Linked DNA regions of Arabidopsis thaliana. The protein of the gene in region 1 interacts with the protein of each later gene in a biochemical or structural test. Each region holds a gene or a part of one and is shown in the gene's direction. Other genes may lie near its edges.

What was found.
Region 2: the proteins of LHCB6 (region 1) and DEG1 form a complex in vitro, tested with the Arabidopsis thaliana proteins (one study listed by BioGRID).

Annotation. Positions count from the first base shown.
Region 1 is NC_003070.9:5,445,873-5,449,671, reverse strand, and holds LHCB6 (light harvesting complex photosystem II subunit 6), read left to right. Parts: upstream 1-1,791; 5' UTR 1,792-1,995; coding exon 1,996-2,222; exon of another isoform or gene 2,223-2,437; coding exon 2,438-2,987; 3' UTR 2,988-3,210; downstream 3,211-3,799. Other genes in the region: AT1G15830 (uncharacterized protein), read right to left, coding at 1-946; AT1G15825 (hydroxyproline-rich glycoprotein family protein), read left to right, coding at 1,143-1,523; AT1G15810 (S15/NS1, RNA-binding protein), read right to left, coding at 3,401-3,544, 3,640-3,692.
Region 2 is NC_003074.8:10,365,089-10,371,117, reverse strand, and holds DEG1 (DegP protease 1), read left to right. Parts: upstream 1-2,173; 5' UTR 2,174-2,253; coding exon 2,254-2,675; intron 2,676-2,764; coding exon 2,765-2,887; intron 2,888-3,045; coding exon 3,046-3,217; intron 3,218-3,338; coding exon 3,339-3,376; intron 3,377-3,603; coding exon 3,604-3,802; intron 3,803-3,920; coding exon 3,921-4,073; intron 4,074-4,176; coding exon 4,177-4,311; intron 4,312-4,381; coding exon 4,382-4,459; 3' UTR 4,460-4,509; exon of another isoform or gene 4,510-4,769; intron 4,770-5,449; 3' UTR 5,450-5,466; downstream 5,467-6,029. Other genes in the region: AT3G27930 (beta-galactosidase), read left to right, coding at 1-60, 189-319, 511-552, 669-745, 840-930, 1,022-1,103, 1,195-1,267, 1,357-1,525. UniProt on the Arabidopsis thaliana protein: Serine protease that is required at high temperature. May be involved in the degradation of damaged proteins. In vivo, can degrade beta-casein.

The DNA of each region.
Region 1 (3,799 bases):
TTCTACCACCACCATCTGTGACGCCTTCTCCGGTGCTACCCCTTCCTCCACCTTCTGCGCCTCTTCCACCACCATTATCTTCCTCTCTTCCCTCACCACCTCTTCCATTAGTTTTATCACCACCACCACCTCTACCTGGCGGCACGGTTTCACAGCCACCATTTACAATGACACCGCCTCCTCTTTTAGGTGGTGGCGCTCCGGGAACCACAGATTCACCTCCTCCGCCTCTTTTAGGCAGTGGCGCTCCGGGAATCACTGGTTCCCCTCCTCCTCCTCTTTTAGGCGGTGGAGCTCCGGGAATCACTGGTTCACCTCCTCCTCCTCTTTTAGGCGGCGGAGCTCCGGGAATCACTGGTTCACCCCCTCCTCCTCTTTTAGGCGGCGGAGCTCCGGGAATCACTGGTTCACCCCCTCCTCCTCTTTTAGGCGGCGGAGCTCCGGGAATCACTGGTTCACCTCCTCCTCCTCTTTTTGGCGGCGGAGCTCCGGGAATCACTGGTTCACCTCCTCCACCTCTTTTTGGCGGCGGAGCTCCAGGAATCGCTGGTTCACCCCCTCCTCCTCTTATAGGCGGTGGTGCTCCGGGAATCACCGTTTCTCCTCCTCCTCTATTAGGTGGCGGAGCTCCGGGAATCACCGGTTCACCTCCTCCGCCTCTAGTCGCAGACGTCCCGCCCATGCCACCACTAGCATGGTTTTCGCCGCCTGATATTACTACTGGATCACCACCACCATCTCCAGTTTTCCTCCTTCCTCCGCCTTTAGACCGGTCAACATTAACGCCACCAGCTGCACCTGTAGACAATCTCCCACCGGTTATAATCACGGGATCTCCTCCACCAGTAAACAATCTCCCACCGGATATAGTCATCGGACAACCGCCACCACCTGATGTAACCATTGAACCGCCTATTGACCAGTCAACATTAACGCCACCAGTCATTCCCGTGACTTTGCCTCCACCGGTTCAAGACCTTCCTTCGATTTTACCTCCCCCGGCTGATGAGTTGCCGCCACCGGTTCAAGAATTCCCTCCGATTTTGCCTCCACCGGTTCAAGATTTCCCCCCAATTCTCGCTCCCCCGGCTGATGAGTTCCCGCCAAATTTGCCTCCACCGGTTCTAGAATTCCCTCCGATTATGCCTCCACCGGTTCAAGATTTCCCGCCAATTCTCACTCCACCGGCTGAAGAGTTCCCGCCGATTTTGCCTCCACCGGTTCAAGAGATCCCGCCGGTTTTCACATTACCACCGACCGTACAAGATCCACCGACAATTCCAGTATTCTCCACACCACCAGTCCTCGGAGATTTCCCACCCCAAACTCCCGACTTTACCACGCCGCCAGAGGTCACAAATCCATGGCAACCGCCGGTGACGTCATTCGCACCACCAATAGAGTCCATCCCAACAATACCGGATAATCCGTTTCCGGTTACACCAAACCCGGACATGGGTTCAAATCAACCGTTTGTTGAGCTTCCTCCGCCTACTTGGGATTCCCCGCCATTTAATCGTTAATTCTCTTTATATATTTTTAAATTTTCGTTTTTTTTTTCAGTTAATCATGTAATGTGTAATCTAAACGCAATAAGCCACATAATGCAGCCATTTTGTAAATTCATTGCTGTCATTTACATTTCAATAAGAAAATAAATTAATTTCCACGTGTCATTTTATTTTCCTCTCACAATTTAGATTTAGATAAGTAAAGTATTAGAAAAATGTAAATACTGAGTTGGCAGAATAAGACAGTGGTGAGTGTGGGTGATGTGGATATGGTGAAGTAGTTTCTGACTCCTAATTGGTCAGAAATCTATCCACGACAGCCTCTGAGATTTCGTCTATAGATTCTCATTATCTCACATTGTCCCTCTAAATCTCCTCTCTTTGATTCTTTCTGCTCCGAAAAACAGAGAGAGAGAACAACAACCAAACACTCATTTCTCCACATCTTGAGAGAAAAAAACAGAGCAAGTATATTAGAGATCTCATGGCGATGGCGGTCTCCGGAGCTGTCCTCAGTGGGCTTGGTTCTTCGTTCCTCACCGGAGGCAAGAGAGGTGCCACCGCATTGGCAAGCGGCGTAGGCACTGGAGCTCAGAGAGTTGGCAGGAAAACTCTTATTGTCGCTGCTGCGGCTGCTCAGCCTAAGAAATCTTGGATCCCTGCCGTTAAAGGTGGTGGCAACTTCCTTGACCCTGAATGGCTCGATGGCTCGTAAGTCTATTCTCTTTTATATCTGAGTTACTAGCATGAACAATGCTGAATTTTCATTCATATCTCTCATAAACTAGCTTGGACAATAGATTATGATAATTCAAGGTCCTGATTACTCATTTGGTTCTAATTTGTTAGCTGAATCTCAAGAGAGCATGAAAAGCCCGAATTGTTTGTTACCCAGTTATTGAGTCAAATGTGTGTGATATTCGCAGGCTACCAGGAGATTTCGGGTTCGACCCATTGGGTTTGGGGAAAGACCCGGCTTTTCTGAAATGGTACAGAGAGGCTGAGCTGATCCATGGCCGATGGGCGATGGCAGCGGTTCTTGGGATCTTCGTCGGCCAGGCCTGGAGCGGTGTGGCATGGTTTGAAGCTGGAGCCCAGCCAGACGCGATCGCTCCCTTCTCGTTCGGGTCGCTTCTTGGAACCCAATTGCTTCTCATGGGTTGGGTGGAGAGCAAACGATGGGTCGATTTCTTCAACCCGGATTCTCAATCGGTTGAGTGGGCAACGCCATGGTCGAAGACCGCCGAGAATTTCGCGAACTATACCGGCGATCAGGGATACCCCGGTGGGAGATTCTTCGATCCGTTGGGTCTCGCCGGGAAAAACCGCGACGGTGTTTATGAGCCGGACTTTGAGAAGCTGGAGAGGCTGAAATTGGCAGAGATTAAGCACTCGAGGCTCGCAATGGTTGCCATGTTGATCTTTTACTTTGAGGCCGGGCAGGGGAAAACGCCTCTCGGTGCTCTTGGTTTGTGAGAAAACGGCATGATGTTTTTGATTCTGTAGATACAATTTCTCTTCCAAAAACCTAATGTTTCTCTTCTTCAATGTGACATTTGGGAAAAGATCATCAAACCATTGCTATAAATGTAAAATGAAATCATGAGGCTTGTTCGTAGATAACTTTATTATCACAACTCAAATGTGAAAGGGAATACTAAACATCAATGAAAGAGATCCACAACTTCATTTCTTTGCCACAAATGCATGATTGAAGAGCTCCAGCTGAAACACTGGAGTAAGAGGACAAAATAGAATAGAGCGACTTTCTTCCCTAGAGTGGAAAATGCCTAACAGGGTTTGAACAGCTAAGTCTCACTCACAACAGTAAGTTGGTTGAACCAAAAGAGTGCACAGATACCATCATCGGGTCTCTAGTGCAATAAAGCTTAGCACTTGTAATCCGGGTTGTCACGAAGGCTGAGTTTTGACAGGACAAGGCAGTAAGAATCCCAGTCAGTTCGTCTTAGATATTTCAACAGTTTCTTCCGTTTCTGCACCATTCCTAAAAGTCCCTTCCGCGAATGCTTGTCCTACGGTACAGCCACCAACAGGTATGACATAAGGTTCCACAAGAAACTGGGATGGATAGCTTCACAAAAATATCGAAAACAGTTTGAAGTTTTACCTTTTTGTGCAAACTTGAGGATAAATGCTTGATCTTAGTAGTGAGTTGTGCCACTGTAAGGAGAGACCAGAGACATCACAAGACAATCTATCTTAGAACGTGTAAACCTTTAAATGGCTAAAGTCAACATTGATCAGACCACTGGCCTTATGTAGAGTTT
Region 2 (6,029 bases), on another chromosome or scaffold:
ATGCATGGCTTGTAAGCAAGATGGGAAGTCTTACAGTAGGAGTACAATATGAGCCGCTACGTGAGTTAGTTTACATTGTTTTATTTCTGTTGAACAGATTTTACGCATCACATGTGGAAACTAGTATCTATAAATTATGTGATTGAAAGAAAGTGAGCATCAACAATTGTTATTGGATTTTGTTTTAGATGGAAGCAAAGATTTGGCAAAGTACACAGACCCAAGAAACTGGAGTTGTGCTGCTGGCTATGGAGTAGGGTCACAAAGCCCCTTGACTCCTTCTTTTAACATTGGCATTGAACTAGCAAGAAGCTCTCAGGTGATTCTTTTAAAATCCGTGTAGATGAAAACATGTTGTTTTGCTGTCTGTATGCACAAGTCTTAACCCCAAACAATTTTTCAGTATCTCATGGAACTTGACAAACGACCACATTATTTATCTAATGGCATATCATCCATTTTGTAGCATTTTTAGTCTTGCTGATTATGTTATCTTTCTTGTAAATGCAGTTTATTGCTTCGTTCTACCAACACGTAGTGGTCCAAAGACGGGTACAACTCTTTCAAACAAGTCCTTTTTCTGTGCTGCATCTTATACTAGTCTTCCATATATAAAGTTTAGCACATCTTTGGCTCAATATGAAATCGATTTAATGGACTTGGAACAGGTGCAAAATCCTTTCGAAGAAAACCAAGTAGTTGGAATCACAAACTACATTGATTTTGGTTTTGAGCTACAATCGAGGTAGTGAACATCTCTAAGTAAAAAAAAAAAAAACATTGTAGCTACTGTTTGTCTATACAGAAACAGAACTTTATATTTCGTCTTAATATTGAAGGGTTGATGATTCCAAGACGCCACCCAATGCCCCAGATTCTTTATTGCAGGTGGCTGCGTCTTGGCAGGCCAACAAGAACTTTTTGCTGAAGGTATAAAAAAATATTTACCTTATCGAGTTACTCAAAAAGAAACCATTTATCTCAAATTTTGCTCAGTATGTAACATTTTCAACTTTTGCAGGGTAAAGTCGGAGCTCATAGCTCAACATTGTCATTAGCATTCAAGTCGTGGTGGAAACCGTCTTTCGCATTCAATATTTCAGGTATGCGTTGATAAATAACCTGAATGCAGCGAAATCAAGATGAACATAGGTTCTTGGTATTTGAACATGTTTGGACTCATTTTTTATGCAGCAACAACTAATCATAGGACTGGAAATGTCCAATGTGGGTTCGGTCTACGTGTTGATAACTTAAGAGAAGCCAGGTCAGTCCATTTGTGACAAGTTTAAAATTAAATCAACCCTCTTTAGCTTCATGATCTTCTTCACATTGTTTTATTTTGTGAAATTGCAGTTACCAAAGAGCTGATCCAAACTTTGTAATGCTGACACCGAACAAAGAACATTTAGCTGAAGGGATTGTGTGGAAAATGGGGAAGAGACCAATGTATCAAGCCGATGTGGACGCAGAGAATTTTAGTGAGCTGCCAAAAGAACTTAGACCGTCCCAGAAGATTCTCTAAACTACACCATTAATCTTTTTGCACTTTTATCTAGTAGATTTAGATATCAACCAAGTCAAGTATTTAATAAGTTCGACGAAAGAAGAATTACTTAGGAATAACCATTTTTACTCTTATGGAGTACAAGTGTTTAGTGTTCAAAATTAGGAGTGGATTATCTGGTTTAAACTCTTAAGTTTGGTCTTTTTGGGCTTTTGATTTTTCGAAGTTCTTAAATGAAGCGAAATCCTGATTTGTTTTTGGACTTTTCATTCGGTTTGGAACGATATTTATATGGGATGATATATTACGGGTGAACAAATATCAAACAAAAACAAAACAAATAATATAAAGAAATACAACTTAAATTTAAAAATTTTAAAAAATCGATTATTGGTGTACTACGGGTTATGGATATAAGTAACAACATTCTTTATAATATTTACCATAATAAAGGTTACTGTTTAAATTTATTTTCAAAGTACAAAAAGTTTTCGATTCAATTTGATTCGGTAACAAAAAAAAGACCCGGTTTTGTTTATTCCAGATTCATAAGATCATAAAATAGTGGTTTACTAAACAAATTTCAATTCAATTTCGGTTCGATTCGGTTACGTATACAAAACCATAGCTTCGCATAGAAAAACCATTATTTTCAAAAATTAATATTTTTAATTACAAAAAAAAATGAAATAAAACAGAGACCACAATCCCATTGTCCCATGACCAGAAGAAGAAGAAGAAACTAAATGGCGACGACGACGAGTTGTTCGCTTCTCCTTTCTTCCACTCTCTTCCTTCACTCTCCTCCTTCTTCTCACCTCTCCTTCTTCAATCTCTCTTCTTCACGATCCTCTCCAATTTCTCTTTACCCAATCCGATCCAAACGCTATTTCCGAATCCTCTCGAAGCTTTCACTAAACGACAACAACAGAGACGACGATGATGATACTCTTCATTTTACTCCGTTCTCCGCCGTTAAACCTTTCTTCCTCCTCTGTACCTCCGTCGCGTTATCGTTTTCACTCTTCGCCGCTTCTCCCGCCGTTGAATCTGCCTCGGCGTTTGTAGTTAGTACTCCGAAGAAACTTCAAACTGATGAGCTCGCGACGGTTCGTTTGTTTCAAGAGAACACTCCTTCCGTTGTTTACATCACTAATCTCGCCGTGAGGTATCTGAATTTGATTTCTCTCTGGTGAATTTCGTTTTGAATTTCTTCTCTCCGTGATTTGAGGATTGGTCTAATGTTGTTTGAATTAGGCAGGACGCGTTTACATTGGACGTTCTTGAGGTACCTCAAGGCTCTGGTTCAGGATTTGTGTGGGATAAGCAAGGTCATATTGTTACCAATTACCATGTTATTCGTGGTGCTTCTGATCTCAGGTTAGTTATGTTGAAACTTTGAGAATCTGATTGATTTTTGATAGAAATTGGAATTAGTAATTGTTGTATTCTTAGTTTTATAATGAGTACATTGTTTCTTTGGATGGTTTCTTTTGATGTTTGTGTATGATAAGGAAGTTGGATGATGTATATAACAGGGTCACTCTTGCTGATCAAACAACATTTGATGCAAAAGTTGTTGGATTTGACCAAGATAAGGATGTTGCAGTATTACGTATTGATGCACCGAAAAACAAATTAAGACCTATACCTGTTGGAGTCTCTGCTGATCTGCTTGTTGGCCAGAAAGTCTTTGCCATTGGCAATCCAGTGAGTATACATCCTTAAAGTGATCATAGATTAAAGCTCTGCTTTGTGTTTTCTATTGCTAGCTAGGTCAATACTTATGTTTCTTGTTCATACGCACTAAAGCAAGAACTTTTTTGTGCAGTTTGGACTTGATCATACTCTCACAACTGGTGTTATAAGGTATGTTAAATTATATTTGTCTTCTCTTTTTTTTAAGTTGCATTCTACTCTAATCAGATGTGTTCTTCTCATAACGAACTCACAAATGAAAGTGTCAAAAAAGATGATTGGTACTTGAGGATACTGGATACATATATTTTCTCTTGCCCCTCTTCATGCCAAATGGCTATACTATTCCTTTTCTCTTATTAAAACTGTAGCATGTTTGTGCATTATGATTTGTACAGTGGTTTGCGAAGAGAAATTAGTTCTGCTGCAACTGGTCGTCCAATTCAAGATGTGATACAGACAGATGCAGCCATTAACCCTGGTAACAGCGGAGGACCTCTTCTAGATAGCTCAGGAACGTTAATTGGTATAAACACAGCCATTTATTCTCCTTCTGGTGCATCTTCTGGAGTGGGCTTTTCGATCCCAGTTGATACAGTGAGTTCTCTCTTCTTTTTTACCCATTGCAAATCTGATCAGATAGAGTCTTTCTCTATCATTGAATCCACTAACGGGAGACTAAAGTTGTTTCGAGCTCTGTTTCTCTCATGTTCAGGTTGGTGGTATCGTTGATCAGCTGGTGAGATTTGGTAAAGTCACCAGACCAATCTTAGGTATCAAATTCGCACCGGACCAATCTGTTGAGCAATTGGGAGTGAGCGGTGTGCTCGTCTTGGATGCTCCTCCAAGTGGTCCAGCCGGCAAAGCCGTAAGCTCTTCCTGTTTCCAAGTTTCCATATAACAGATATTTTCTCTATGTTTCACTCCGCGGTTTTAATATTGAAATGTGTAAAATTGGTTTTGTTCCACAGGGACTTCAGTCAACAAAACGTGATGGTTACGGGAGACTAGTACTAGGAGACATAATCACGTCGGTGAACGGTACAAAAGTCTCTAACGGGAGTGATCTGTACCGGATTCTCGATCAATGCAAAGTCGGCGATGAGGTAAACTCCGCAGTTTTTGTCAATTAGTTTCTGCATCCGAGATAGTTTTGACACTGATGATGTTGATTAGGTGACCGTAGAGGTTCTAAGAGGCGATCACAAGGAGAAAATCTCTGTAACTCTCGAACCAAAGCCGGACGAGTCTTAGAAACGTCGTTGAAAGAAGTAAATATACATAACGTGTAGAAAAAAAGTCCGGTGGGTTATATTTTTGTATATCAATTGTTCGGAAAATAGATCGTCCAATTGTGTACATAAAATCTGTTTATATTTGCATACATGCGAAAGGTAACCGGAAATAACCAAAATTGCAATGTCTTCAAACGGTCTTATGGTTTGGATTGGTTTTTAATTTCGGTTCAGACATTGGGAGTGACGAGTCTGACACCTAGAAAAAATCAAAATGAGAAAAATGAAAACCGAATTTCGTCGGCTTAATGGACAGTTACCTCATCTTAGCAATGATGCATAGTACTGATTTTGCGGCTTTGTAGTACCAAATTTTTTTTTCAACACTCTCTCGGATGCATAGTACTGATTTTGCAATGATGCATAGTACTGATTTTGCGGCTTTGTAGTACCAAAATAAAATTTCATGATTGTGCGGCTTAGCAATGATACATATTACATAGTACATTAGTACTGATTTTGGACCTTTATTTTAGTCGAGACAATTCTGAACTTACGGATTCCGAAGTTAACAAAGTCCTTTTATAGCTTTTATTCAGTTCCGAACATGGTTACTTTTTATACATGAAACTTCCTAAAATTTTACATCTACAAACATTCGAGTTTGAAAATTTAATGGTTTGATTTTCGACTCATTACCAAGAATTTCTTTTTGATATTATTCTTCATGATTTATCAAAAGATGTACGTGTATTATATGGTTATGTCTTGAGTTCATGTCATGTGTTCGAATCTTTATAATATAGTCTTACACGGTTTAGGTTATTTGTTCAATTGTTAAGTCATTTTACGGTCCCTATTTCACATTATGTTAGTTTTTTAAAATATTTAAAACAACGTACTGTAGTTTTGATAAATTATTGAGTTTTTTTATTAAGTTGTGAACGCATGCTCTCGTTGAGAGATCATTTACTCGAGCTAAGTTATGACTTGGATGGTTGTGTTGCAGGTGAAAGGTAGCTTTGCAAAAAAAAAAAAAGTTTGAGGTTATGTCTGCATGTTTCCCTGTATACAAACTCAACCATTTGTATTTTATTTTTTGGGTGCAAAAACTATAATTTACGTAGTTTTTGAACACTTTCATAACATCAAATATTACCCACGTGATAAGTGAAAACGAACCGAATATGTAATGATCAGCGAAGGTCCCTACGTGGAATTTAATATTTGTGTCATTCTTTTTAAGCAACACCAACAAGACACTGACATGGGTTGGTATTTATAAATTTGCAACGTAAAGTATATGTAGTAAGATTGTATCTTCTATGGTTGGGACTGTATCTAAACCAAACCGGTTTAATAGGGTATATATTTTTTTTGTCTTTGTCTTTGAATTTGTGGGGTCATAAATCACGGGCATCTTCATTTGGAAATGTATTCATAGTAATGTATATAAACTACTTTCGAGCCGACTTGGTAATGATTACGAGAATCCTCTGCTTTTGGAGTAAATTTCTAATTTAATATGTACGTGTATCTAGATATATATACGACGACATGTCGTTACCCAAATGCTTCGTTAGAGGATA